7 separate regions of the Mus musculus genome follow, and all the other regions are reported to be linked to region 7. Evidence: microRNA targets listed by miRTarBase, many of them from high-throughput screens and not tested one by one. Region 7 holds a microRNA gene; each other region holds the end of a gene's coding sequence.

Region 1 (4,065 bases), not on the chromosome of region 7:
AATAACACCCATTCCCAGAATTCTGGGTAGAACACAGGTACACTTCTCCTTTCCTTTGAAGAGACAAGCCTGCATGTTTAACTTTCTTGGTTTCCCTGCGTGCACAAGGACTTTGCACCTTCTACATGTGAACCCATGTCAAAGTTGGCAGCTCAACTTGTAAACAAAAATTACCTGGCAATAAAGGATTAAAGAAGCCAGCATGATACTCAGGAGGAAGGTGAAGACACTCTGTTCTTCTCAGTCAGCTGTCCACTTACAACTCATTAATTGGTTAGAATACTAAGGAGTGTCTGGGAATGGGGGTACTGGGGGCAAATCTGGGGGCAGTAAGGATGCTATCGGATGGTAATGCCCTCCTGAGGTAAGACCTTCACATGTCATCCACAGCACAAGCATGAGTTAAGAGTGTCCGGGTGATCAAAATGGAATCTGGACTCAAAACCTGTTTTCATAATGGCTTCCCATCTCCAAGTTTCTCTTTAAAACTTATCTTCCTCTCTCTCTGTCCCCTCCCAGTATACCTGCAGATGCCCAAGACTGGGTTCTGAAAGGAGTAAGGGTTAGCTTTGTTGCAGTAAAATAGAATTAACTCTAAACCACATTTAAAGCTTCCCTGCCAATAAAGAACAAGGTTTTGGAGATTTTTTTTTTTAATCTTATATTTGGCAGTGTAAGACACAGCCCCTGGGTAAGAGATCACAGATGCACTTTTAACCCCTTTACAGACGCTTCTCTCACAAAAGGCCAGAAAAGGCGAACGCACAGGTCCCAAGTGATCAGACAGCAACGTCTTAGACAAAGTCTGGACCTTTCTTACCCCTCCCATGTGCTCTGGGATCTCTTCCTAAAAGGAACCACAAACCAGAGACTTCTAACTCGAGAGTATGATAAACAAATGGCTGAACCTCCATTACCAAGATACTTGACACCTCTTTGACTGAACTCGTTCTGTGCTTAATTTCGGATTACAGCCTCTGATCTTGGAAATAATTCATTCTGACACTGAACTGGGTAATGCCTCACTTTTTAAGTAGCGTGAATTACCTGACTTAGCATCAAAGACCATGAAGCACCAAGGCTGTTTTACTCCTACTATCAAACTTCACTTTTAAGTGCGTCGTATAATAGGTACACAAGATCTGTCTTCAAAAAATTAAGGCTGTAGCTTAATATAACCCTCAAGGGGTGTGTGTGTGTGTGTGTGTGTGTGTGTATCTCTATACATACCTATATATACCTATATATAGAGATACACACACACACACACACATATATATATATATACATATATATATGCTTTTGATTATTAACAACTATAATACTTGCTCCACAAAGAAAACATTAATATAAGGCTATATAAGAAAAGTAATGTTCAACATATTCACATTATTGAAATGCTAACTGTATAGATTTATGGTCCAAATGTGACAAGGTTTAGTACAGTAATGAAATATCCTGTCAATTAGCTATTTTCACTGACTTTTCACTTATATACAATTGATGCTGATGAAGTAAAATATGAATGCATCGGTGTTAGAAAATAATTGATTTCCAACATATGGACAGATCTTTTGGTTGTATATGCAAATATTTCTAACATTCTTAGAATTTCTTATTCAAATAGTGGGGTTAAAGAAAGTATGTATATGCTGAACCATACGTTTTCTCATCATCAATAATCAAACCTTAACTGGGTGTAGGAGGAGGCAGAGTCAAGAGCCTCTCTGGGAGTTCAAGACCAGTCTGGTCTACATAGGGAGTTCCAGGACTGCTAGGATTATAGGGAGAGACCCTGTTTCAAAACAAAAAACAATAAAGCCTTAAAAATAGGCCTTCAGAAATATTTTTAGGCTGGGCATGGCTTTAATCCCTGGTAGGCAGATCTGAGTTCCAGAGCAGCCCAGAGTCTATAGTGAGCCTCTGTCTCAGAAAGAAAAAAAAGGAGAGAAAAAGACTTACTTCCAGAACTCACACATAAGAATCCCCTCAAATTCAAATCCAGCTGGTAACTGTTCCCCCACTGCTCTCTCCTCCAGTAACTGTGCGGCTCTTCTCTGCCCACATACCACGTGCCCAACTTAATTACGAAAAAAATGTCACCATCCCTGACGCTTCTGGGTGGAGGGATTTTCTGCTTTCACATTTTTATGAGGAAAGAACTCTTGAGTCCCAGAATGACTGGTTTCTATGGCACTGAACTAAGTCTATTTAGCTGAGCTGCTTTTCACTAAAATAAAAAACAAACAAAACCTCGTAAGACTAGGAAGTAAAAATCGAAGCTACTTTATTCAGTTAATAGCAGAAAGTATTTACATACACATTTTGTATTTGTAAGTCATTTCTACAATGATAATAGCTATTATATAAAATAGTTCTTTATAACTATTTATAAACATATACAGTTTTTATCTGTAAGAATTTAAGGTGGGCGGTGGTGGCGCACGTCTTTAATCCCAGCACTTGGGAGGCAGAGGCAGGTGGATTTCTGAGTTCAAGGTCAGCCTGGTCTACAAAACCCTGTCTCAAAAAAGAAAACAAAACAAAACAACAACAACAAAGAATTTAAGAGAAAAACACTTTCCTGGTTGGACAGGAACCGATATTCCTATGGCACAATGGAAATCTTGGACCTTTCATCTTACTGAGCAATTTTCCCCTATCACTCTCAGGTAATAAGTTAACCCAACTTCAAAGACTCTAGATTCTGACTCATACTCTCTCTCACACTAGCAATGAGAGCACTCATTCCTCCTTAAAGGTCAGATTTGGTCATTCCTTGTGTCATTCAACAAGAGCCAATGAACAAGAGTATAACTTTAACTTATTTATCAAAAAATTCACAAAATTGGGGGCTCCCAGAGACTGAACCACCAACCAAAGAGCACAGAGGGCTGAACCTAGCCCTCCCCCCATATGTAGCAGATGTACAGGCTGGTCTTCATCGGATCCCCCAACAACCGGAGCTGGTCCTACCCTGACTCTGTTGCCTGCCCGTGGACCCTGTTCTCCTACCTGGGCTGTCTTGTCTGAACTCACTAAAAGAGGATGTACCTAGTCCTGTAGTGACTTGAGGTGCCAGGGTGGGTAGATACCCAGGGGGGAACCTTCATTCCTTTAGAAATGACAGGGAGGGGGTGGGAGGGAGGAGTCATGGGGGGAGGGGGACTGGAAGGAAAGGGATCTACGATGGGGATGTAAAGTGAATAAGTAAATAAATTCATAAAAAATTCAAATCAAATTAAATCAAATAAAAAAAAAAAACCATGAAGGTTAAAAAAAAACCCACAAAATATTTTATTTGCTTTCAACTATGGTGCTGCAATAACAATATTTTTTTAGTTATAAAGAGAATTTAATAGCTGTCTTGTTTAGGTTTTGTCTACTTAACTGGAGTAACCTGAGCAGAGGAAATCTCAACTGAAGGACTGCCTCCACAGACTAGACTATGGCACGTCTGCAGGGCATTTGTAGATTTCATGACTGATGGGCAGTGCCATTCCTGGACAAGTTGGTGTGGACTGTATAAAAAGGCAGGCCGAGCAAGGCATGAAAAGCAAGCCAATGAGCAGGGTCTTCTGTGGCCCTGCTCCAGTTCTCAAATAATCATTCTTAGGAAGTCTTCCTTGTACAAACAGAAACAGGCCCTCACATATCCTTGTGTCTCTGCCATGCACATGCAGATATCTAAGACAGTCCATTCACTCTGTACTGCCGGGATGAGCTTTCCAAACACTTGGCGAAATCCAGCGGTGTCTCAGGAGCAGCTTCATTACAGTATCTTTTGATTAGTTGATTTAAATCTTCATTCAAAAATGAGTCTCCTGGTAAAAATTTATCCTGAAAAAAAGTTAAAATTAATAGTTAAAGCCACACACATTGTAAGTAATAACCAATCTGAGCAAAGCCAAAACCATTGCCAGTGAACACCAACCACGGGAACAGAGTCTATGGGGCTGCATGCAGTGACAATACAGAAGGTACAGATGGGTACATCCTGTGAGTTCAAGGCCAGCCTGGCCCACACAGTGAGTTCTAGAACAGCTAGAGCTCATAGTGAAACTG
Region 2 (4,065 bases), not on the chromosome of region 7:
TCTAGCTGGGTATAGTGGTTCATGCTAGTAATCCTACCACTTGGAATAGATACAAAGGCAGCAAGAGTACAGCAAGTTTTAAGGTTAGCCAGAGCCATGTATCCACTGACTTACACTAACCAGGAATTAGTATCTAAGAACAAACACCTCCTCCAAGATGGACTATGATCAGTATTTCCCTTTAGGTTTCTACAGCTTAGCATGGCATTGTTTTAATTTGGCACTTTTTATTTAAGGTTCCAGTGCTGGAAAACGGTACTCACCCCAGTTTGTAAAAGCTGCCAAGTTACTTCACTGGAATGGTCACTTCAAGCCTTGGGGAAGAACTGCTTCATATGCTGATGTTTGGGAAAAGTGGTATATTCCAGACCCAACAGGAAAATTCAGTTTAATCCGAAGACATATGGATACCTCAAACATAAAGTGAACTACAATTTAAGCTAATTGCGTCACTCAGGAAACTCTGGAAGACACACTATGTGGGAAGGTAACAGTTGTAGGGCTTGAGTTTCTCTATACCAACCACAGAAAACACTTCAGCTGGGTAGAAGTCATAGATATCCAGATGACTACCACGGCTCCATCTGCCTTACCAAATGTTTGCTTTACTATACTGCTGACTTGAAGGACAGAGAACTCCAGCATTTAACTGCATCTAGCTGCTGTAGGTAGGAACTGCTGTTTGGTTTTAGTTTTGTACCTTGTGGCCTGGTTTGTAAATAAAATCTACATTTTCCAATAGACCTATTTGCTTCCCCATTTTTCTTTGTACCTTGTGGCCTGGTTTGTAAATAAAATCTACATTTTCCAATAGATCTATTTGCTCCCCCCCCCCCTTTTTTTGAGACAGGGTTTCTCTGTGTAGCCCTGGCTGTCCTGGAACTCACTTTGTAGACCAGGCTGGCCTTGAACTCAGAAATCCATCTGCCTCTGCCTCCTGAGTGCTGGGATTAAAGGCATGCACCATCACGCCCAGCAACTTCCCCATATTTTTAAGAATGTAAACACCGCTGTTCTTCCGGAGTTCAATTCCCCCACATCAGGTCACAACTATATCATTCTATTTCCAGGAGACCCAATGTTTTCCTAATCTTTTTTTCCCCCCCAGATTTTTTGTTTACTCAAAGAGGTCCTTCTGAGTGCTGGGTACCACCATACCTGGCTATAAATAAATCTTAAACACATGCAAGCAAATACTTGTATTTTATTTTGAATTTATAACATGATACATATTTACAAGATGTACAGTTTATATCATACACTAAACTACACAGCGTACAGAGAGCACGTTAGTGTGTGGCGGTTATATATAATCTGTGGTGAAGTCATAGGTTTCATCCTCTTGACTCGCTCTATCCAAGGCAGACGACCCGTCAGATGGCTTACCTGCAGCAGAGGAAAAGTGACATTTTACATAAGAAATTAAGGGCAATTGTGTTCAAGCTGCTTTTTTATAAGTCTTTCCCAGACTCACCTGCTGTTGATTGCTCAGGTGACAGCTCCCTGGTCTCTTCTACAGGGGCCACATCTGAGATCTCTGCCTGTGGACCAAGAAATTGATATGAAATAGCACATAACTTCTCATTACTCCTATGTAGGTAGGATAGATCAGTCTTGGTGGCACCCCTAACTAAGCACTTGTAAAATGTTAACAGTAGCCAGGCATAGTGGCGCACACCTTTAATCCCAGCACTTGGGAGGCAGAGGCAGGGGGATTTCTGAGTTTGAGGCCAGTCTGGTCTACAGAGTGAGTTCCAGGACAGCCAGGCCTACACAGAGAAACCCTGTCTCGAAAAACCAAAAGTTAACAGTTCAGGGGTCCCTTCTTATTAAAATGTTTCTACCTTTGACCCTCATTCTTTCTACACTGTAATGCTAGAAATTTTATTTCAGCTTTAACCCGAGAAACAAAACTTACATTTCTTTCACCACTACCATTTTCTTGATCGTCAGCATCCTGTTTGTCTTCTGTCTGTCTTGGTGATTCTTCGACTATGTCCTTCTCGTCTAGTATTCCATTTGTCAGGCCCGAAGACCGAAAAAGGATTCTATTAGTTAAATGAGGGCCCTTGAGGACTAGAGGAAATAAACTCAGGTTAACAGATAAGACCTCTAGCATTCTGTCGTCATTCACTATTATGTTATATCCATTTGTGTAACAGAAAAAAACAGAATTTCACCTTGTATGCTGTGTGCATTATTCTTTTCTAGTTCTTCTAGATTAAAGCCCTTCTTCATGACTGCTGCAATATTCTCATTAAAATGCAGAGAATGATTCCAGGATGCAGGGGGATGGCAATAGTAACCTAATGAGGCACTAACATTAAAGACAAGATGTGTCAAACACAGGCCAATCTCTTCATTCTAAGTTGTCTTCCAAAATGCCCATAAAAAGACACCTTACCCTGTCCACTCAGACCACACCAGCTTAGCAGCACTTTCCACATTTGGGCTTCCACCTTTTTGGTGCAGACCTCTTCTTTGAGCAAGTTTAGTAAAAAAATGCAGAGAATCCTTATACTCAGGGACAGTATATTTTAACACCACCTTAAAAATAAAAGATGGGGGCTGGTGAGATGGCTCAGTGGGTAAGAGCACCTGACTGCTCTTGTGAAGGTCCAGAGTTCAAATCCCAGCAACCATATGGTGGCTCACAACCATCTGTAACAAGATCTGACTCCCTCTTCTGGAGTGTCTGAAGACAGCTACAGTGTACTTATATTAATAAATAAATCTTTAAAAAAATAAATAAAATAAAAGATGACCTGTCCCTAATCTATACAGATAAAGAGCAGTTCTTTTACCTGTTCATTATCAGCCTGAGACAGAATGGCACTGGCAGCCTCCAGCGGTCTTAGTTCCTCAATGCTTGCTGGACTCCGAAGGGCAAGTGCAGTGGGGGAGTTACAAGGTGAGATAATTAGGCATGGACTGTCTATGATTGTGATCTGCTTGTCTAAAGGGACAATCTGCATGCTCCTTAAAAAAAAAAAAAAGCCATGGAATTAACAATGACACTGTCCATCTGAGGACAAGACAACATGAAGCTCAGGGTTGGATTGAACAAACTCAGCACAGCAGTTAAGTCAGATCCAATCTGTCATCACTGCTTCATGTTTATGTGAAACCTTACACACTGTAAGATACTGTGCACTACATATCCAAACATATTCATGTTTGCATATATGGCACAGTAAGGTTATTAACTTATTTTTCCAAGACTAGGTCCAACACTATTTGTCTGAGGGAGCTTTCCTCAGCCTTTCTGGGCCTTTCCAAGGAATGCTCTTAGCCCAGCACCAGCTACTGATTTCTTTCTGATCACTGACAGTTCCATTTACCTTGTAAGTCCCATGGAAATCCCAACATTGCAAATCCATTCTTGTTTTAAGCTATTAATGACACTGCTTTTCCCCACATTTGGGAAACCTACAAATAAACATAAACTCGGATTATGCTCAGAAACACATTTTCTAATAGTTGCCTTGCCCACACCAGGCAAGTGTTTCCACTGAACTCTCAGAAGGCCATGTTTTGGCAAGGCGAGCCAGAGTTAACATTTGAGAAACCCTGTCAGTTTTAACAAAGCTATTCACACTCACAATGTCAAGACCCTGACTAAGTACTTATGTGGTAAAGAAGCTGAATGAAACGCACCAATCACTCCAACTTGAATATCCTTTCCACAGGACTGCTGAAAATCTCCAAGAAGCTTCCAAAGGGCTTCCTTGCCACAGCAGATTTTGCTTTGGAATGGAACAACTTTCTTCTTTTTTATCTTTAAACATAAAATATAGCAATTTTAATTCTGGTAAACATCACCAGGTGGAATACAAAAAGTATGACAGCAGAGAGAGTCCAGCTTTCAGAAAAACTGCTGGCCTCCACTACCTTTGCAATTTTTAATGAAATCAGAGTTGGATCTTCATGTTTTTCACTTTCATCAACATTTGTGTACTCATCACATTTCAATCATCACAGATCTGAAGAAACCAGTATTTCCCCCCACCACTAACAACAGCATACCTTGAATGTCTTTCTGTTCTTTAAGTTTGTTGAGGCTTT
Region 3 (4,065 bases), not on the chromosome of region 7:
CCTAAGGGGTTCATGGCAAATTACTGTCATGGAGAGTGCCCCTTCTCAATGACCACGTATTTAAATAGTTCCAATTATGCTTTCATGCAGGCTCTGATGCATATGGCTGACCCCAAGGTCCCCAAGGCTGTCTGTGTCCCCACCAAGCTCTCGCCCATCTCCATGCTCTATCAGGATAGTGATAAGAACGTCATTCTCCGACATTATGAAGACATGGTAGTCGATGAGTGTGGGTGTGGGTAGTCTCGGGACTAGGCTAGGAGTGTGCTTAGGGTAAATCCTTTAATAAAACTACCACCCCACCTTTGGCTTATGCTCTCTTGAATCGGACATGTCTGTCATCATGGTTCATGAGCCCCACAATTACACACATTTGTGTATGACTATGGACCCCTTGGTGAGCTTACTTAATTTGTGCTCATTATGCATAGTAGCTGGGCTTCTTGTTCTTGTTTGAAACAAGGTCTTATTATACATCTTTGCTGGCCTTGAACTCATGGCAATTCTCTTTCCTCTACCTCCTGTGTGCTGGGATTACAGCTGTGTGCCACCAGGACCAAAAAAAAAATTTTTTTTTTTGAAACAGGAAACATGGTCTCTATACCAGGCTGTCCTATAACTATGTAGACCAGGCTAACCTCAAACGCACAAGAGATCAAACTGCCTCTGCTTCCTGAATCCTAGAATTAAAGGCCTGCCCTGTACCATATTATATCCAATTGTATATCTTAAGATTTTAAAATTATTTTGAGAAAATATAACATAGAAAAATTTACGTGAGCTTTAAAAATGTTCACTTGTTTGTTTTATGTGTGGGTGCTTGTGTAAGTGCACGGTGTACATGCAGGAACCCGTGGCGGCCAGAAGAGGGAGTCAGATCCCCTGAAGTTACAGGTGATCATGCGTCTCCTCCATGTGGATGCTCAAGTGGGTCCTGCACAAGAGCAGGCAGCGCTCTTACTGCTGAGCCAGTTCTTTTTTCTGTGTAATCCTGGCAGTCCTGGAACTCACTCCGTAGACCAGGCTGGCCTCGAACTCAGAAATCTGCCTGCCTCTGCCTCCCAAGTGCTGGGATTAAAGGTGTGCGCCACCACCGTCTGGCTTCCTGGGGTTTTCTTAATAAATTTACTTCAACTGAATTATTACAGCAAGATTTTGTTAAGGTGTTTGAATAGATATTGGATTATGTGTACACGTGTTTGATACTTTCCTATCCTTTTTTTAAAGGAATTATTTATTTATTTTTTGTATATAAGTACACTGTAGCTGTCTTCAGACACACCAGAAGAGGGCATCAGATCCCATTATAGATGGTTGTAACCTACCATGTGGTTGCTGGGAATTGAACTAAGGACCTCTGGAAGAGCAGTCAGTGCTTTTAACCTCTGAGCCATCTCTCCAGCCCCCTATTTTTTAAAAAATAATTTATATATATAAATATATGTATTATAAAATTATATATAGAAATAATTCTATTTTATGTGCATTGGTGTTTTGACTGTATATATGTCTGTACAGGGTGTCAAATCCCTTGGAACAGGAGTTATAGACAGTTGTGAGCTGCCAGGTGGATGCTGGAACCTGACCCTGGGAGAGCAGCCATTGCTCTTAACCACTGAGCTGTCTTTCCAGCCCAATTCTTTCTTCTTCTAATTAGCTAGAGCTGACAGCTTGGCACAGCCCAGAGTTATTATCTCAGGGAGACTCAATGGGGAATTGCCTTGATCAGACCGGCATTCGGGTTATGTCTGAGGACATCTTATTGATGGTTGATTGATGTGAGAGGGCCCAGCCCACTCTGGGCAGTGCTACCCCTGAGCAGGTGGACCTGGGGTGTATAAGAAGAAAGCTGAGAGGCTAGAGAGATGGCTCAGTAGTTAAGAGCATGCGCTGCTCTTGCAGAAAACCAGAGTTCAGTTCCCAGCTCCCATGTACTCTAGTGCCAGTAAATCTCACACACACACACACACACACACCTAAAAATAAAATAAATAAATAAATAAAATAAGGAAGAAAAGAAGAAAGAAAAGCAGGTTGAGCAAACCATGAGGGAAAAGCCAGTATTCAGCATTTCTCCATGGTCTCTCCCCTTCAGTTTCTGCTTCCTGTTCCTCTTTTAAGTTTCTGCTCTGACTTCTCTCAGTGATGAATTGTTCTCTGGGGTGTAAGATGAAAGAAGTCCTTTCTTCTCCAGGCTGTGTTTGTTTGTTTGACACAGCAATAGTAAAGCAAAGCAGGACCTTTCTATAAAAGTTATTAAAAGGGAGGCTGGAGAGAAGGCTCAGCAGGTAAGAGGTGACTGTGGCTAAATTTTGTGCACTGGAGTTCAGAACCCAGCAACTATGTAACAAGCCTGGTGTTCTGCAAACACCTCTCACTTTGGTTCTGAGGGGTCCTACACTCTCTTCTGTACACACACACACACACACACACACACACACACACACACACATCTGGACTTTTTGTTTATGTGAGACAGGGTTTCTGTGTAGTCCTGGCCATCCTGGAATTCTCTCAGTAGGCTATGCTGGTCTTGAACTCAGAGATCCGCCTGCTTCTGCCTCCCATGTGCTGGGATTAAAGGCGTGCACCACTATCGCCTAGTTCAAAAATCATTCTTTTTATACATCTGTAATCCCAGCACTTGGGAGACAGAGGTAGGTGGAACTCTGAGTTGAGGCTAGCGTGGTCTATATAGAGAGTTATAGACAGCCAGAGCCACATAAAGAAATCTTGTCTCAAAAAGTAGGAGAAAAGAAGAAGAAAAGAAAAGAAAAGAAGAGGAGAGAAAAATAGTAAAAACCTTGTTGAAAGGATATTGGTGGGGTGGCCCACACCTTTAATCCCAGCACTCAGGAGGCAGAGGCAGGTGGAACTCTGAGTTGAGGCTAGCGTGGTCTATATAGAGAGTTATAGACAGCCAGAGCCACATAAAGAAATCTTGTCTCAAAAAGTAGGAGAAAAAAAGAAGAAAAGAAGAGAAAAATAGTAAAAACCTTGTTGAAAGGATATTGGTGTGGTGGCCCACACCTTTAATCCCAGCACTCAGGAGGCAGAGGCAGGTGGATTTCTGAGTTTGAGCCAGCCTGGTCTATAGAGTGAGTTCCAGGACAGCCAGGGCTACAGAGAAACCCTGTCTGGCGGGGTGGGGGGGGAGAAAGAAAGAAAAAAAGAAAGGAAGGAAGGAAGGAAGGAAGAAAAAAAGAAAGGAAGGAAGGAAGGAAGGAAGAAAGAAAGAAAGAAAGAAAGAAAGAAAGAAAGAAAGAAAGAAAGAAAGAAAGAAAGAAAGAAAGAAAGAGAAGGGACCAGACTGAAGCCATTTTGAATAAAACTTTCATTTTGAACAGAGGTCAAATAAGTTTAAGTTCCCAAGACCTCAGTGTTGAACTGACATCCTGTCTGGCAAGTTGAGACATGATTGCTAGGCAAGTCTCCCACCACAGTCGAATAAACCAAACAGTAGGAACAGGATGAATGTACCACAAAGACAAGTTCCTAGGGAAGACTTCTATCCCTAGATCCTAATTTGTGGGATAACTTGGCAGACTTATTTATTTATTTATTTTTAGATTTTTACACCCTAACATTTGGATACCAAACGCTAACCTACTTGAGCCCTTAAGCTGAATTAGCAGCACCTCGGACTGTTTTTCAGTCATCTGGACTCCCGGAGGTGAGCCTGTATTCTGCTTTCTGGTGGAGCCTCTCTAGGACCCAAGAAAGGAGAAAGTGGACGCAGCACTGCTCCGAGGGTCAGAGGAGGACAGGAGACGGCCCGCTTTTCACTGGTTTCCACTGAGGGAACATTTGCTTCTGGTTCTGGGCATGCTGGATTGCCCATGTCTGTCAGTCTGTGTCTGTGGTTTCATTTAGTTTGAATGTTGCTCTGTGTTTTATATCTGGAAAAACGGGCCAAAGTTCATCTGCTGGTTGTTCACCTCTTAGTATTTACCCATCTCAAGGATTTTCGGGGGGGGGTGTGGGGGGAAGCGGCCGAATCGGGACAACAACAACAATAATAATAACAACAAAAACTGATAAACTGGCACTGTGCCTGCAGCTGAG
Region 4 (4,065 bases), not on the chromosome of region 7:
GAAGCATAAACCAAATGAACCCTTTTCTTCCCCCAATTTGCTCTTGGCTGTGGTTTCATCATAGCAGTAGTAACCCAAACTAAGACACTTAACTGAGCAGGATTCCATAGGGTGTAATCATAGGGCACGGCCTTTGGGGAACTAGCTGCTCTGGCAGAGATTATTGTGCAGCTTGCTACTCAGAAATGTTGGGCTAGGATCCCAGGCCCTGGACTGAGAAACCTCTTACTCAGGCTAACATTATGCATGCACAAGTCTTCTGATCTATGTCTACCCTAGAGTCTCACTCTGGAGCACTGAAGGTATGTGGGGCCCATTCAATTTGTGTATGTGTGCCTACGTGTTCATAGTGCACACATATGTGCCTGTGCACACATGTGGAGGCCAGAGGTTGATGGTGGGTGTTTTGTTAGAGACAAGGTCTCTCTTCATTGCTTTGGCTGCCCTGGAACTCACTCTGTAGACCAAGCTGGCCTTCAACTCACCGAGACTCCATAGTGAGACCACTTCAAAACCCCAAACCTTATGATCTTCCTATCTCTACCTCACGAGAGCCAAGATTACAGATATGAGCCTCCAAAACCCAGCCTTGCAATGTTGACTAAAAACCTTAGTTCTAGGCTCAGGTCTCTTTCCATCTGCTAAACTTGTCTCAACTACCCAGCTGGCTATCCAGTTGCTCAGGAAGCCAGAAACTACCCACCTTACCTTTCTCAAACCCTTTGTTGGTGAATCCTCCCCTGGGCTTTGTTGAAGTATTCAACACATCTATCCCTCTCTTGTCCCAACCTCCTGATCCTGCTAATGTCACCTACTCTGATACTCACATTCTCCTCCCACTCCACAGATGGCTCACCTCTTGGCCATTCCCCAATGCAGATTCCCTACAGCAGACAGCATTGTCTTTCAAAAATACACACCTGCTCATCTTATTAACCAGCATTAAATCTTGGCTCTAGACAGCAAATGTGTGGCTCAGTGAGGTTTCTTAGCTTTTCTTCTTCAGGGCCAAAGATTTCCATTTCCAGTATCTAACACACCACCCAGTACAGAACAGACGCTGGGTGTAGTGCCCATATTCTGCCAGATACTACTCAGATGCTAACAGCAAGGCAGGGACTTCAGGCCTACTCACCAAACCTGAGTGCCAATGCAACCTCTACATCCTTGGCCTGGGAGAGACACCTTGCCTTTCGGTTAACCTCAATCTCCTCAACTGTTAAGTTAGAATACTGCCTTGAGGGGATGGAGAAATGGCCCGGTGGTTAAGAGCACTGGCTGCTTTTGCAAGAGACCTGGGTTTGATTCCCTGTACCCATGTGAGATCTTACAACTGTCTGTAAACCCAGTTCCAGGGGATCTGATACACCCCAATGGCCTCCATGGGCACCAGGCACACAAGTAGTGCAGTTATACATAGAGGCAAAAAAAATCCCAACCAGCTTTGAGTGACACAGTGCAGCTCAAGGGCTCAGTATAGGGCAGGGCACAGTGAAGCTCTCACGGAGATGGCAGTCTTACCACAGCCACCCTCACCCCCATAATCAATTACCACCCATATAAACCAAGGGTAGAACTCAGGATCTGGTATTAAAACTCCAAGAAGTAAATGATAAAATGAAATCGTGAAGGGACAGGGACACGGCTCCACAGAGTAGGGACAACCATGCTGCAGACCCGTGACTCACCTTCAGGAAACAACGGTGTGTACCACTAAGGAAGAGCTGGCAGGCTGCGTCACCAAGCTCCCTTCCTCCCTTATGTACATGGACTCACTCCACCACATTACCCTGCGCGGCTTAGGGTGTCACTTCAAGTGTGACAGGAAAGCTAAGGCCCTATGTGTGACAAAGGCTTACCAGAGCTTCAAATCATCCAGCAAACAAGGGCTCCAGTGACCCATCCAGAGAGCCTAGAAATCCCCACAGGACTACACAGCCTTCCACACGAAGAGATCTTATTTAATACAAAGCCATAAAGAATCCACTACGTGAGCTGGAGAGGTGGCTCCTCCTAGAGGATCTCCGCCTCCCCGCCAGCACCCACTTCCCAGACTCACAACGGCCTGAAGCTTTAGTTCTGCAGGATCTGACCCCTCTCCTGGACCCTGAAAGCACACACATACACATAAGTAAAATAAAAATAGATCTTTATATGTAAAAAAAAACAAAAAACAAACCCACCAGTTTTCTATTATAAAAATCCATAAAAAGAATCGTATGAACTAAGAGGCTGCATTTGCAAGGTGAAAGGCTGAAAAGGCTGAAAGACGATTAAAACTATACAAATTCTTTTTAAACTAAGTGGAACCTAAATTAAGTAAACACTGTTAGTCAGTGCTATGTAACGTGGCTATAAAATTCAGCAAGCAACCACAAAATTCTTTCCTTCTCTGTTTCTACTTCTCTGACCCAGAGCTTTTTCTATGCACTCAGATTGGTCTTAAACTTTTGATCTCCCTGCCTTGGCCTCCAGAGTCCTGAGATTACAGACCATTATGCTGAGCTCCAATCAGGACTTGTCTGAAAGTGAAAAGATACTGCTATTTACTTTAGAACAAAAAATCCCATAAAATTAAAAGAACCATGCTGGGCGTGGTGGCGCAACACCTTTGATCCCAGCACTCGGGAGGCAGAGGCAGGGGGATTTCTGAGTTTGAGGCCAGCGTGGTCTACAGAGTGAGTTCCAGGACAGCCAGGGCCATACAGAGAAACCCTGTCTCGAAAAACCAAAAAAAATAAAAAAAATAAAAGAACTAGGCACAGTGGTGAACACACACCTGTAGTCCCAGCTACTCTCGGGCCTGAGGAAGAAGTCATCTGAGCCCAAGTGTTTGAGGCCAGCCCTGGCAACTCAATTCCTTTACCCTACTCCCCACCAAAAGGAGACATATCTATGACATGTGTCCCATAGAGAAGGTAGTGTGGGACACTGTTTTCCCTGGTGTGCCTTGCTTCCTCAAAGTCAAGGCTGACTGGCACAAGCACCCTGTGACATGTGGTTAGCACTCTAAAGAAGTAAACAGTTATGGTTCATGACTTTGTATTCCATTCCTTCTACCCTCCCCCACCCCACTGCTGGAGACTGTACCTAGTGGTTTATGCATGCTAGGTAAGTGTTCTAGCGCTGGGCTTTACCCCTGGCCCTCTTTTTATGTTAGGACAGGGTCTCACTGACCTAGAATTAATTCTGTAGTCCAGGCAGACTTTACATCTATAACCTGTTTCAGCCTCCCAAGTATCTGGGATTACAGGTCTGAGCCACCTGCCTGACCTAGAGGTGGGTTTAACATGAAAGCTCTCCTCTTCCATGAGACACTTAACCACACAGTGACCAAAATAGCTGAGATGAAATTTCAATGGGTATTAAGCCTCTGGCCAAGCCCCTCTCCCCAGTGATTCTAGCTTCTGCAGGTGAGAAGCTGGAAGAACTGTGGGTTGGTCTACTGCATGTGTCTCCCTGGGATTGCTAATTTTCTGGAGGATTCTGGGCCAGGTGCTGTTCCCATTCAACTTCAACCAACTTGTACAGCTCCATTGTGGCCTGGGCATCTTCCACCGAGGAATGTCCAGTATTTCCAACCTAAAGGAAAAGAACATGAAGACGAGAACTGTTGCTTTTCCCAGACAACTGGACTCCCTGCATCCCGCTAGTTGTCTATACTTTCTCTTCTATAGTTTATGAGTTGTAGTCACAAGTCTACTAGGGCCCTCCTCCCTAGCACATTTCAGTTTCAACTCCCAGAAGGCCTGCTCATTTGAGTGACGATGCATATGTATCTTACTATTAAGCTCTGCAGAGGCAGGACATTTCAGGTCAAACAGACTGTCTGGGTCTTCTTTCTTAAATGTTCTCTGTGTGACATGTACCCAGAGCTCCATATTCTGTGGCCATGTCCTTGACTGCTGAGCATGTGAAATGCTGAGTGCTCTTCTTTCCCACTGTACCATCTGGCACGGTCTATAAAGCACCCAGGATTTATTATTTCTCCTTGCAGACAGGGCTACCGGGTCACCTTTGGTGGGGGCACTTAGAGAGAAGTTACCTGGATGTCCCGACTCAGGA
Region 5 (4,056 bases), not on the chromosome of region 7:
CCTCAGGATTTTTTGAGATAGGATTTCTTCCTGAGCCTAGAATTTACCAGTTTGGCTAAGTTGGCTGGCCAGTGAGCTTCTAAGATCTGCATATCTCTACCCTGAATGCCCAGCACTGGGATAACAGGATATACCATCACACCTGGCTTCTGTTTTTGTTTGTTTAAATTTCTATCAGTAGTGTGTGCCACAGCATGTGTAGTCAGTTGTGGGGGTTATTTTTTTTCTACTATGTGGATTCTAGGAGTCAAGTTATCAGGCTTGGCACCATCTTTACGGAATGAACCATCTTCCTGGCCCCACACCTAGCTTTTTGTGTGGCTTGGGATGTCACTTCAGGACCTGATGCTCAAGAGGTGGGCATTTTATCGAGTCATTCCGCCGGTTCTGGAAGCAGCATTGTTAAAGGTAATGCAAATGTGAAGGAAAATGTCTTGTGAGGATATGCAATTTATATACATATTGACCGCCACATGTTCTGATGCAAAATGCTTTTTTATCTTTATCTGAATCCTAGTTAAAAAAAAATTTTTTTTGGGGGTGGGGGAAGGAACACTAATTTTAGTAGTACAAAGCTTGATGTTTTAGACTGCTTTTGGTAGCAATAAGAAGAAATGACAGTCTCAAATGGCAGTAATCTCTCTCAAACACACTTCATTACAACTTGGATTGCAGTTTGGAAGCACTTTAACTTGTTAGTTTTTAATCTATTTTCATTGTTGTCTTCAGTCTAATGCCCTATACCATAGGGAACTATAAAGCAATGTTGTATTTCAGTGTACTACATAAACACAGCAGGCATATCTTGTGTGACAAAGTTATGAGTTTAGGAATGGGGATGATCAGAAGAGCCACGTGAAAGTTTGTGTACAAGTTATGTAGGTCAAAGTGGAGCCTCTGGATGACAGGGACTGTGTGAACAAAGTGTAAAGGGACCTGTGCCAGAAAAACCACCCAAATAAGGTGTGTTCTATGCTTCTACAGCATGAGCTTGAGAGGCACCACGTAGTGGAGCATCAAGCAGATGCTTGATTAGTAGGCAGTGTAAGAAATCTGGACTTTGTCCCATAAAAAACTGGAAATCTATCAGGCAATTAAGATGACCACATTCCTATCATGACAACTTTGTGCCTGGGACATCCCACTAGGAACAATTGCATATTTGCTAATGGAGATAAAGCAGGACATGACTCCACTTAAGATACAGGGATACAGTTACTCGGTTTAAAAATGATAGGTAGGTATTGGGTTCATAGTGCTAAACTTTTAAGTAAGTGTGTTAGGTTTTTTGGGTGGGTGAGGGACATTAGTTTGTCAACCTTATTGTAAAGAATTGAAACCCTCCCCCCCAATCCTTACCATGAGTATGGCAATATGTACCTTCAATCTCAGCACAAGGGAGGCAGAGGCAGGAAGATCTCTAAGTTCAAGGCCAGCCTAGCCTACAGAGTGAGTTCCAGGACAGCCAAGACTACACAGAGGATCCATGTTTGTGTAGATCAAAATCTGGAACTCGATGTGGAGAACCACTCTTTCGAAGCGATGAGAAGGGCTTGGCTTGGTATTTAGGCAATGTCTACTCAAAGGCAGTTATTTACAAATACAGGCAGATTAACAAAGCCTTCAGTAGATGTCTTAGGATTTGTCAACTTTGGGGGGCCAGATTATTAGATATGTAGTGCCCTGTACAACTGTGAGCTCCTTGACTGCTGATGCTTCACTTTTAGCCAGGGTCAGATTTACTGCAAATATGCTTGAAGTATGCAATCTCTAGTATGTAAGGTGATGCTGGAGATTCGGATGCTTCTAATAGAAGGGGTAGAGATACAGCTCAGAAGGCACTTGCTACTAAGTCTGATGACCTGTCTTCCATACCTAGGAACCACAGGTTGGAAGAACTTGGGAAAGCTGTCCTCTGGCCTCTATCTGCATTCTGAGATGCATGTACCCTCCCTACTCAATAAAGAAGTATAAAACATTTAGGGAAATATTAAAGCTCCAAATGGTGGGTGTTCAAAAAAAAATCTGAGAGCCCTTTCATATTTTACCTGTTGCAAAGTCTTCCAAGATTTGGTTTTAAGGGAAGGGCTTTTCCTAGAACAAGTCATGACTCAGGCATCTAACTTGTAAATGCTCAAAAGATAGGAAAAGGGATAAAGATTTACAAAAAACATGTCAAGTTCTATGCAGAAGGAAGAGTGACAGCTCTGCCGGGACCAGGTGATTTAGTGTAAGCAGCTGTAGGGCAAAGAGTCTTAGAATAGTGTCACTGAAGCTAATGTCTTTCTGCTTCCACAGTGACCTTCTACCTTCAGGTGCTGCACTAATTGTTCAGGAGAACTTCTTTCCATGACTCCCTGGTCAAGTCTCTGAACATACAGAACAGCAGCCAGGATGGGTCATATCCCATATTTAGTGGATATAAATAAGCTCCATGCTTCTCACATACCCTGGCCATTCTGAAACAGGATTTCCTCTTTCTGGGTTCCCACAGAGGTCCACTTTTGGCAACAAAAGCTTCCAGGAAATTCCCAGCAGGCTTAACTTTCTAATGCATCACTCTCTATCAACCTTCCTCTTCACACCCTCTAAGAGGAAGGAACTTATCCGGAAGGCCAACATCCTGGCAGATGCCTACAGCCCTATCTATGATCAGGGTGGTGATACATCTATTTGAGTCCACATTCAAAACCCATTCAGACATTGAGTGAAACAAATGTGACCTTGCCTAGAAACAATTCTCAGTTTTAGGGGTACCATGTTATTTGAAGATTCCTGTACAGAGGCTCACACAGCTAGTTATCAGGAAGCAATCTCTTGGGACTGAATGCTTGCTCTCATAGTAGCCTGTCAAAATCCTGTTAAGAAGGGGGTTAGAAGCTCAGGCGGCTGCACCCTCCTTTGTGGATGGACAGACAGTGGTACAGCCATTGGTAAGACACACACATGCTCCTGTAAGCAGGACTAATGAAACTCGCCAGGACATAATCACACACATAAAAAGACATCAAGTGGAAGGGGGACTAGTTGAAATAGGCAGGACAATAGGGTGCATGCATGTGGTGGTAAGCATGGTCAAAAGACATTGGTAGATATGTATGAAGATGCCAAGGTGAAACCTAGTCTCATAGGATTCATAAAGATTCTCATGTATAACTTATAAAAGCAAAAAAGGAATTCCAACGGTGGGTCTCTATGCTGGACGTCAGCCAGTCACCATAGGAAGATGGTTTGGAATCAAGAGGTACAGGGCCCATCTAAATTAGTGTTGAGATAAGCAAACTGAGCCAGGAGGTAGTGCCCCATACCTTTAATCCTAGTACTGAGGAGGCAGAGGCAGGTGGATCGCTTAGTTCAAGGCCAACCTGGTCTACAAACAGAGTTCTAAGACAGTCAAAGAAACTGTCTCAGAAAAAACAAAACCAAAGCAAACTGGCACTGTGTGGTGGTGAACACTTGGGAACACAGGGACAGGAGGACTGCTGCATGGTGGATATAGTCTGGATTACACAGCAAGATCCCCTCCCCTCCAACAAACAAGCAAAACTAGACCTAGAATTTAGAACCTAAGTTGTGAATTTACTGTCTTAGGAGGCTGAGCATCTGGATGCCTCTTACTTTCCATAAATCCTAGGGAAGGACAAGAAAGTCAATATCTTATATTCATATTAAGACTTTTATCTTCTGTGCAAAGAGGATCGTGTGAGTCAGCAGGGAGGTCTGGGTCTCATTATGAGGGGGCTTTACAATGCTACTTCCAGGCCTCACACACTACACGAGCTCCAAGACCCACGAACACGGGCACCACACCTATGCACCACTCTCCAGCTCCAGTTAAGTCTTTGGTGTTTGAACTGTACAGGAGCTGTGGAGGCTTGCGTCCTGGTTATGGTGCAGGTCCTGCTGCAGTCCCAGGAGCAGCTGGTTTAGGAGAGTAAGGTTGCTGTCTCTGTGAGGCAGAGGCAGGGGAGGGAGGTAGTTCCCTTTATATTCTATCACCGCCATCTTGGCCCGATCTTGCTCCTTCCGATTCGGGATCTGTAGCATTCTTGTGTA
Region 6 (4,065 bases), not on the chromosome of region 7:
GGGGTCACGGTTCTTGCCAGCCTTCTCATCGGCTTCCTCCAAACTCACAGAAAATGTGACTCAAGCAAGCAACCCGGCAGGACAGAAGGTTAAAGGAAAGTGGGCCACCTCCACCACCGTGGTAGTAACTCAATTCTGTGCAGTGTTACAAAGGATATTTGTCTCTTGCCAAACCTCCCAGGGCACTGTCTTAGGAACAGGTGACACAGTATTAATTGATGCCCAGCTGTCGCCACACTTAACATTTGCCCCCGGGGGCATCCCTGCATCTGTTGTAGATTTAGGGCTATTTTGGTATTACTAGAGTTAAGATTTATTTAAGCAGCTGAACACCTATGAGCATTATTTCATAAACAGAAAAAAAAAAAAAAGAGGGGGCAAGGAGCTCGTTAATCGACGAACTCTCACCTGAAGCTGCTGAGAGGGGCCAGGCTTGCACGCTATGTGGCCAGCTTCAGAATGACGTAAGCAGGAGAAGCACACAGCTGGCGTGGAACTGTGGGAGAGCACTGACCTCTGCTTCCAGGGCCAGCTCCTCGGGGGTGAAGGCTAAAGGGACTCAGAAGGTAAAGCCATGCAGGACAGAAGGTGAAAAAGCCAAGACCCTTGGGTAGAAAGGCATTCCACTTTACTGCTCTCCAGAAGGGACCTATCCAAGCAAAGGGACAAACAGTAGTAAGAAAGAGTAAAAAAGAGTTTGTCTGCATCTATCTATCAAAGGTTATTTAACCTTCCCCACACAGTCCTTAAAGTATGGGTATTAATTCATTTTCCTAGAGTTCAAAGTAGAAGCATGGAGGTTAAGAGTCGTTTCATTAAGATCCAAACCCAGCCCGTCTCTCCCCATCCCAACCCAAATCCTGGCCTCTCCCCATTACACCCAAGTTGTCAATGTTCTCTTTGATCTTTTCCAAAGGGAAGCGCTGTTACCCAATTTTTAGCCTCTTTCCTAAGGGGAAGGCAAGAGGACACCTGCAAAAGTGTGTATTTCCATATATGCAAATTCTTACTTTACATGAGACTCCCTGCTTTACAGGTCAGCTGCGGCAGGGCCTTTGACTGAGGCACCCTGGCTCTGGCAGGCTGCCAAACATGGGGGCCCTTTACACAGAACTCTCATGGCAGAAAGCCTGAGATTCAAGTTTCCAACTGGGCATCGTGGCAATGGGCAAAATGCAGTGTTTTACAATTTCTACTAATTTCTAAACACTGAATGAGAAGGACCATCAATATCTGTCTCTTTTCCAAGAATAATATCACATATAATAATGACAATCTGAGGCCTGGAGAACTTTTAACCGCACAAAAGCATCCAACACACACACACACAGATATAAAACTGAACAATGAGCAAACAACCCAACTTAAAAATGGGCAAGAATTAGACACTTATCTAAGAAAATATGCAGAGGTCACAGATGTGCAATGTCTATATCATGCCGTTAGGGAATCTCAAAACAGAGACGCCATTAAATTGGCGAGAACGCACCAGCCTACAGTAATAACCCCAAATGCCAGTGAGGATATGTGATCACAGGCCACTCACTCATTGCTGGTGATGGTGCAAGATGTTACCACTGCTTTGGAACACAGTTTGGCAGTTTCTTATAAAACTAAATATACCTTCACATATGCTCCTTGGCATTTACCCCACCCCCACCCCCAAATGAAAACATGACCAGGTAAAAAAAAACCAGCATACAAACAGCATTTTTAGTGCTTTTATTGATGGCTGGCAAAACCTGGAAGTAGTAGAAAGGTCTTCCATGAGGTGAGTGGATCAACAAACATGATACAGCCATATAATGGGGCATCACTCAGGACTGGACATGACACTCAGTCCTACATGATCCCAATCATGACATTCTGGTAGGAAAATCAGTGGTGGCCAAGAGAAACTTTAATGTCAACCTTGGACTTTAGCATCCCTGGGTGTAACACGTGCTACACTGACACAAGGCATTCATTCATAGCAGGAAAGCTACAGAGTTGGAGTAAGAAGTCACATAGAATCTTTCAGTTCATTTGCTCAATACGTATGGAAATGCACAACTACTCTAAAAAAAATAAAGGCTACTTTTTTTTTTAAGTCACAGATGCCAGGCATGTGCCAGGATGGTGGCAGAGTTCCTAACCCCAGCACTTGGCAGGAGCAGCAGCAGGCAGTCTGTAGCGGTGATTGGTTAACCCGCTTTGGCTCCTGGCAAGTCCCACTCAAGCTGCGCCTGCCCAGGAGCTATCTGGATTCTCAAATGAGTCTACATTCCAGCTGATTCTGACATGCCTTAACTAGCTCAATGGCTGGGCACTTCTAGTCCTCTCCGAGGCTAGCATACATTTCCCTCTGGTATTCCTGGCTTAACACCTTCTAAATCTATGGGTTTTTTGTTTTATTTTGTGTGTGTGTGTGTGTGTGTGTGTGTGTGTGTGTGTGTGTGTGTGTGTGTGTTTTGTTTGTTTGTTTGTTTTTGTTTTTCGAGACAGGGTTTCTCTGTATAGCCCTGGCTGTCCTGGAACTCACTTTGTAGACCAGGCTGGCCTCGAACTCAGAAATCCGCCTGCCTCTGCCTCCCGAGTGCTGCCCAGTTACTTATTGGGCAGCAGCCCCACCCACCCCACCCCCAACCCCCAGGGCTGCTTTCCCTTTCAACCTACATTGCTGGATAACTTTCTCCTGCAGCTCTTAAATCTGATCCCTTTCCCCCTCAATCATGGCGATTCTTCTCTCCCCCTCTCTGTCCCTTGCCCGTACAATCTAAAAGTCCCACCTCCATTTTTCTGTCCAGCCATTGGCAATTTTTTTTTTTTTTGTAAATTATCAATTGAAGCCAGCTGAGGACAGGGACCCTCAGGCCTGGAAGCCAGGCTTTGGGAACCAAATTAAGACCTTTGTCTTAGAACCAAATCCCAATAGCAGACTGCTGTGAGTTCAAGGCCAGCTTGGTCTACACAGCTAGGTCCTGCTTCAGACACAGAACAAAACACAGAAAATGAAACTTCCAAACAAAAGAGTGACTCTGCACATTTAAGAACATTTCAAGTATTTTGAGTATTTCTAATTTTGGTTAAAATTAAAATGGCTAAATTCCTATTGCTGCTCTGTCCGGCTTCCCTATTAACAGTTTTCCTGAGTGTAATTTTCATATATGGCACCTTCCACAATGATCCCTTCTTGTTTATAGAGAGGTAAGTTAGTCTTCATAATAAAAACTTTTTCATTTGTTGACCCAGTCAAAAATGATGAGCACTAAACTGAAGCTTCCGACCACAGCGCCTGTGAGGAGCAGGAACAAAGCCTGTGGAGACAGAAGAGATGCTGAGTGTGAGCCTCCGTCCTCTCCACTGCGGACTTTCATTCAGTGTCAGTACATGGGGTCTCAAGCTGTGGCTCAGGCTAGCCTTGAACACTCAGCAATCCTCCTGCCTCAATCCCCTAAGAGCTGGGATTACAAGCATGAGCCATCATGCCAGACTCTAAAATGAACTTTGTAAATTAAGATATTCTGTCTTCTTAGATACAGTAATAAACACACTATTCCTTAAAATAGAAGCCTTTTTAAACAGTTGGAAACAACCTACCCCAAGCTTTTTCCAGGAGAGGAAGTCCTCTCGGCTGAGTTTAAGATAAAATAACCCTGGGAACACAAAAATCAAGCATGTCGATGTGCTGGCGCCTGGAGAGGAAGAAACAGGCCGTGTGAGCTCAGCTGAGAGAGTGATGACTTTATTACCCCTCTGGCTTTTGTGGGGCTGGAGACCAAACCTGAGGAGCCCACCCGTGCTGGGAGACGCTCTTCCACTGATGAAACATCCCCGTCCCCTTTACTACATGGGTTTTTTTAAAGTGGGAAACTTACCAACCACACCAAATACATTTCTAATGTCCGGGACATAGATGGCGAGCACCACGATGATGGCGTTGAGCGCTGCTGTGGTCAGGGAATGTCGGATCCAGGAGAACGGGTAATTGGAGAACAGGATCATCATTAAAGCTTTCCTGGCCTAAGAGCAGGGGAAGGAGGTCAGGCGAAGGGTGGAGGATGGAGGGCACAGCACTTGCTTAGA
Region 7 (4,065 bases):
GTGGGGTACCTGCATGGATCCCCAGAGCAGCAGGCAGCCTTGCCTTGCCTTTGACCTCTGCCCCGTCGCAATGGTTCCCAGAATCCGGGGCCAAGGAGTCACTAGGCCAGTCACACCCTTCACGTGGTCCCGACCCTTGGGTGCCTCTCCTGACTGATCCCACTGACCCCTTCCTCCTAAGCTAGGAACTAGCTAGCCACACAACAGCCGCAGCAGCAGCAGGCTCGCAGCGGTAGTTAGATGACAAAGTTCACCAAACCACTCGGCCTAGCAGAGCTGGGTTAGTTAAACGTCTACTACGGGCCCAGAGCTCCGGCTCCGTGTGGCCTGGTGCCCTACAACCCTCCTGTTGTCGCTATATGCTGAACGCCACCCGGGCACGAAGCAGTTAACGCCCTTGCAGCGAGCTGGCAGAGCCGGCTGCCCGGCTTATTAGTCAGCCGGCGGGGAGGGGGCGGAGGGAAGGAGGGAGGAGGGAGGGAGGGGTTCAGTGGAGAGCCGCAGAAAGCTATTCTCAGGGGCTCCCGTGTGTGGGGAGGGCGGCTCAGCGGGAACTGCCGCTTCCCAGAAAGTTGATTATTTTTAACCCAGGAAGAAGAAAGGAAGGAGGCCCAGGGAGGACTCAGAGAAGACGAGGAAAAGAGAGGAGAGGAGAGAAAAAGAGGAGAGGAGAGGCGAGAACAAGGAGAGGAGAGGAGAGAGAGGAGAGGAGAGGAGAGGAGAGGAGAGGAGAGGAGAGGAGAGGAGAGGAGAGGAGAGGAGAGGAGAGGAGAGGAGAGGAGAGGAGAGGGATAGATATTTGGAGGGAAAGGACAGGCAGGGCAGGGAGGAAGGAAGATGAGGCTTAGATATCCCACAGCAAGGGTTGGGGAACGCTCTGGGCCAATTCTGGAGGAGGAATAGATGTGGGGTACCCACCCCTGCTGGACCTACCATCCTCCTGTCCTTGTGGACTGGCCTAGTTGCATGGGGGCTTGAGGGAGGAACTGGGCACAAGGCAGTTCCAGCTCCTGGGAGTGCTCTCAGGTCAGTGGGCAGCACAATGGCACAGCCTTGTTCTGGCCTTCACGGTGACTCCTGGGAGTCTGCATGGAGGCCCTGGGAAAGAGGACAAAGAGGTTGCCTTGGTGCTTGGGCCGAGAGGGATTCACTTACGGGGGGGGGGGGGGGGGGGGTGTGGGCCCAAGTCACTTCTCCTACCTCTAGGTGGTGTCAGGCTGGGAAGGCACCTCAGAAGCAGGAGCTGGGTTCACAGAGTGAGACAAGCCAGAGACAGCTGGCCCACAGGGCTCGCAGGCGTGGCGAGCCATAAAAAATGCATTGGGTGCCCCCAAGAAGGCTGAAATATCAGGGACTTAGGCAGACTGGCTGTGTGTGTGATCTCAGCAGGGGTCAGAAGTGTCCTAGAGAAGGGTGCATGAGGATCTACTGGGATGACTAACTCAACTAATGCGAAGCCAGGGAAGACAGGACTGGCAGTCTTCAGGCCTCAGATCCAAGTGGTCTATCAATTCCTGCCTCTGGAAGGTTTGGCAGGCTTTTATGGAGCAGAGAGAACAGGTCTCCAAAGCTCCCAGAGGCTAGGAACTGGGGGCTGAACTCAAGCTTGGTTTGTGCCATGGTGGAAGACCAGCCTAGTGCAGATGCGGGAGGAATCAGAAAGCTGTCTGGGCTGGCTATGTGACAGGGAGGGCTGGTGCTGTTCAGGAGGCAGGGGACAACTCACAGGAGCAGGCTGGCAGCTTCGCATATTTGAGGGTCTGGTAGAGATGGCTCAGAGCGCCAGGTGAAAGGAAGACCCAGTGGGGAGGGCTGAGGGAGCTGCAGTGGCATTGCAGAATATGCTAGAATCCTGGTGGACCGGCTGATCCCGGTGGGTCTGCAGTATAGGCAGGGGAATCAGGTTTGTTATGGTAATGGTGCAGAGGGAGAGAGGAGGGTTCTGTTCCTATAATTGAGTACTGGGAGACACAGCAGACAAGACAGTGTGTGGCCAGCAGGGCTGAGCCTCGGGCAGGCCAGGCCGATGCCTGGAGCCTGGGAAGGTCCTGGGGACAGATCAAGAGGCCTCGGGTGTGATGTAAGGGCAGGTATGCATGTTTCTTGCTCTGAGGGCCTTGTCTCTAATTGAGAAGGATTGAGAGGGACCCAGCTACCCCTACCCAGTCACTCTGGAGCCCTGACCAGCTTCAGGCCTTTCCCCAGCAGTAGGTTGGGACTGCTCATTACCTCCACAGGATGTAGAAGGTGCCCACCCACCAAGTCACTCCCCACCCGGCCCCCAACCCCAACTGCTGGCAAGAGGAGAGCAGAGTTGAGCACACAGTAGGTCCTTTCCATGAGCCTAAGCTAGTGGGTAGAGTTAGAGCTACAGACTGGGCTGAGAGCAGAGCCCCTGCCCAGATGCCCTGGAACAGGGAGATAAGGGGAACAGCTGGTGGCTTGCAACTGAGTTCAGGGACAGCGTGTCTCAGTTTCTCTGTCTGAGCATCTGCTGATCCTGAGCTGTGTTTTTAGCTGCAGAAACCCAGGGCCTTGAGGCTCCACCCCTACACTCTGAGCACCACTGCTGCCAACGCCAAGGGGGTCTCGGGAATGGCAACTGAGAGGAGGGGGAAGGTTCTAGGACACATATGGAATCCAAAGTGCTCATCTTCCAGCTCTGAAGGGCCTGCCACGGCTAATAACAGTCTTCCAGCCAGGCAGTGATGGCACACACCTTTAATCCCAGCACTCAAGAGGCAGAGGCAGGAGGGTCTCTATGAGTTCAAGGTCAGCCTGGTTTACAGAGTTAGTTCCAAGACAGCCAGGGCTGCACAGAGAAACCCTGTCCTGGCGGGGGAGGGTGGGCTTCCCATCAAAGCTATGCTGGCCCTGCCCTCTCACCTCCTCCCAAGGGTGAGAAGAATAAGGCCCAGATCTAAAGGACAGACCTGAAGCCACCCCACGGCTGACTGTGTTCTCTGAGCCCCCACCCCTAACCCTATCTACAAAGTGCCTGGCTCCTTGGAAGCAGAGGAGGGTAGGTGTCAGGCTGTCATTCCGTGACCCAAGGCTCCCCATCAGTATGACAAGGGTGTAGGCTAGAGCCCTCTAAAGTGGACAAGACCCAGACTTCCCAGCATCCACTCTGAGAAGCCTAGCTCAGAAGAGTTGGCCAGGGCCCCAGAGCTGCACCTCCTGCTCTGTCCCCATCAGGCATCTCTGAGCTGTGAGGAGCTGTCCCCTCAACAGTGCCTGTGGAACACAAAGAGGGGGGGAGCCCAAGCAGAGAAAGAGCCGCGGGCTGCAGGCGGGCAGGCAGGCTCAGAGCGGCTCTGCTCCGCTTTCTTCTTCCTCCCTCTCTCTTTGTTAAGCTCCTTTTCAGCTGCACAGGCAGAGCCTGGGTGTTCCGAGCTGACAATAATTGCTGCGTCTAGACAGTGTCTGGTAGGAGGCCTCCTTCTCTGTGCCTGCCGGCCTCCCCGAGGCTCCCAGGCCTGGCCCACAGCCCCTGCCCGGCACCCTCAGAGGGTTCCCACACCCCTGCCTCTCTGTGGATGCCATGCCCACCCCCCACCCCCCAGTCTTTCTGCCTCCTAATTCAGTTGGGAGTACAGCTCTGTCCTCCTACCCTTGGGTCCAAAGGCACCCCAGTCTGTTCTATTTTGTGGCCTAAAGTTCAGAAACAAGACACTGTCCAAGAAGCACTGGTAATGCCAGAGGCCTCTGAAGGAGCCAGAGCTCAGCGTAAGGCAGGTGGCTGTGCTGCATAGGCCAGGGAAGCTGCCTTGCTGGGTGAGCTAAGCCTGGACCCTCAGGGTTCAATTCTAAAATTTGATCTAGGTTCTTCTAGAGTTTTCCAACCCAAAGCCCAACAAAAAGACACAGGAATCAGTGTAAGGAAGACCAAGCATTTCCCAGACCACTTTAGGCTGATGGGGATCCGTGTTTTCAGGAGGCTGGGGAAGGAGAACAAGAAACAAACATTAGGAGTTCTGAGATCTGTGCTCAACTCAGCCCTGAAGCTCTGGAAAATTCCCCAGAGTCTCCTAGAGGGTGTTGGGGCAGGCACTCAGGGTGCCA

The links. The annotated mature microRNA mmu-miR-3089-5p reads UGAGUUCAGGGACAGCGUGUCU and lies in region 7 at 2,450-2,471, shown strand. An mRNA with a match to its seed (bases 2 to 7 or 8) in the 3' UTR can be bound and repressed. Matches are read on the target gene's strand: a 7mer-m8 pairs with bases 2 to 8, a 7mer-A1 pairs with bases 2 to 7 and ends in A, and an 8mer does both.
Region 1: miRTarBase lists Noc3l as a target of mmu-miR-3089-5p. Seed matches in the 3' UTR shown: 8mer at 2,490-2,497.
Region 2: miRTarBase lists Glt8d1 as a target of mmu-miR-3089-5p. Seed matches in the 3' UTR shown: 7mer-A1 at 880-886 and 8mer at 908-915.
Region 3: the mRNA of Gdf3 is a reported target of mmu-miR-3089-5p. Seed matches in the 3' UTR shown: 8mer at 490-497, 7mer-A1 at 1,004-1,010 and 7mer-A1 at 1,033-1,039.
Region 4: miRTarBase lists Isg20l2 as a target of mmu-miR-3089-5p. Seed matches in the 3' UTR shown: 7mer-A1 at 2,680-2,686.
Region 5: miRTarBase lists Mrpl17 as a target of mmu-miR-3089-5p. Seed matches in the 3' UTR shown: 7mer-A1 at 1,451-1,457.
Region 6: the mRNA of Slc38a6 is a reported target of mmu-miR-3089-5p. Seed matches in the 3' UTR shown: 8mer at 2,925-2,932.

Annotation. Positions count from the first base shown.
Region 1 is chr19:38,785,858-38,789,922 of GRCm38, forward strand. It overlaps Noc3l (NOC3 like DNA replication regulator), which reads right to left. Exons shown (of 21, transcript NM_021315.2): 21 at 2,271-3,840. The coding sequence ends at 3,688. Among named protein-coding and RNA genes, the nearest start is that of Noc3l, 31 kb to the right of the region's middle.
Region 2 is chr14:31,011,249-31,015,313 of GRCm38, forward strand. It overlaps Glt8d1 (glycosyltransferase 8 domain containing 1), which reads left to right. Exons shown (of 10, transcript NM_029626.2): 10 at 237-1,193. The coding sequence ends at 427. It overlaps Gnl3 (guanine nucleotide binding protein-like 3 (nucleolar)), which reads right to left. Exons shown (of 15, transcript NM_153547.6): 7 at 4,027-4,065; 8 at 3,658-3,778; 9 at 3,342-3,429; 10 at 2,805-2,979; 11 at 2,405-2,547; 12 at 2,181-2,317; 13 at 1,919-2,076; 14 at 1,475-1,541; 15 at 1,185-1,386. The coding sequence ends at 1,304. It overlaps Snord69 (small nucleolar RNA, C/D box 69), which reads right to left and starts at 3,103; the gene lies at 3,045-3,103. LOC115488429 (a small nucleolar RNA gene) reads right to left here and starts at 3,978; the gene lies at 3,900-3,978.
Region 3 is chr6:122,602,484-122,606,548 of GRCm38, reverse strand. Gdf3 (growth differentiation factor 3) reads left to right here. Exons shown (of 2, transcript NM_008108.5): 2 at 1-1,146. The coding sequence ends at 243. It also overlaps a transcript of Apobec1 not described here. Among named protein-coding and RNA genes, the nearest start is that of Apobec1, 2.1 kb to the right of the region's middle.
Region 4 is chr3:87,938,755-87,942,819 of GRCm38, reverse strand. It overlaps Isg20l2 (interferon stimulated exonuclease gene 20-like 2), which reads right to left. Exons shown (of 4, transcript NM_177663.4): 3 at 4,046-4,065; 4 at 2,134-3,582. The coding sequence ends at 3,469. Among named protein-coding and RNA genes, the nearest start is that of Crabp2, 7.9 kb to the left of the region's middle.
Region 5 is chr7:105,806,023-105,810,078 of GRCm38, forward strand. It overlaps Mrpl17 (mitochondrial ribosomal protein L17), which reads right to left. Exons shown (of 3, transcript NM_025301.2): 3 at 1-4,056. The coding sequence ends at 3,835. Among named protein-coding and RNA genes, the nearest start is that of Mrpl17, 3.0 kb to the right of the region's middle.
Region 6 is chr12:73,351,688-73,355,752 of GRCm38, reverse strand. It overlaps Slc38a6 (solute carrier family 38, member 6), which reads right to left. Exons shown (of 16, transcript NM_001037717.3): 14 at 3,858-4,002; 15 at 3,580-3,674; 16 at 1,708-3,296. The coding sequence ends at 3,216. Among named protein-coding and RNA genes, the nearest start is that of Gm40442, 49 kb to the left of the region's middle.
Region 7 is chr2:30,718,773-30,722,837 of GRCm38, forward strand. Mir3089 (microRNA 3089) reads left to right here and starts at 2,438; the gene lies at 2,438-2,521. It overlaps Gm14488 (a long non-coding RNA gene), which reads right to left and starts at 2,415. Exons shown (of 4, transcript XR_866106.3): 1 at 1,201-2,415; 2 at 934-1,098. It overlaps Gm39782 (a long non-coding RNA gene), which reads right to left. Exons shown (of 3, transcript XR_866107.2): 3 at 2,791-3,941.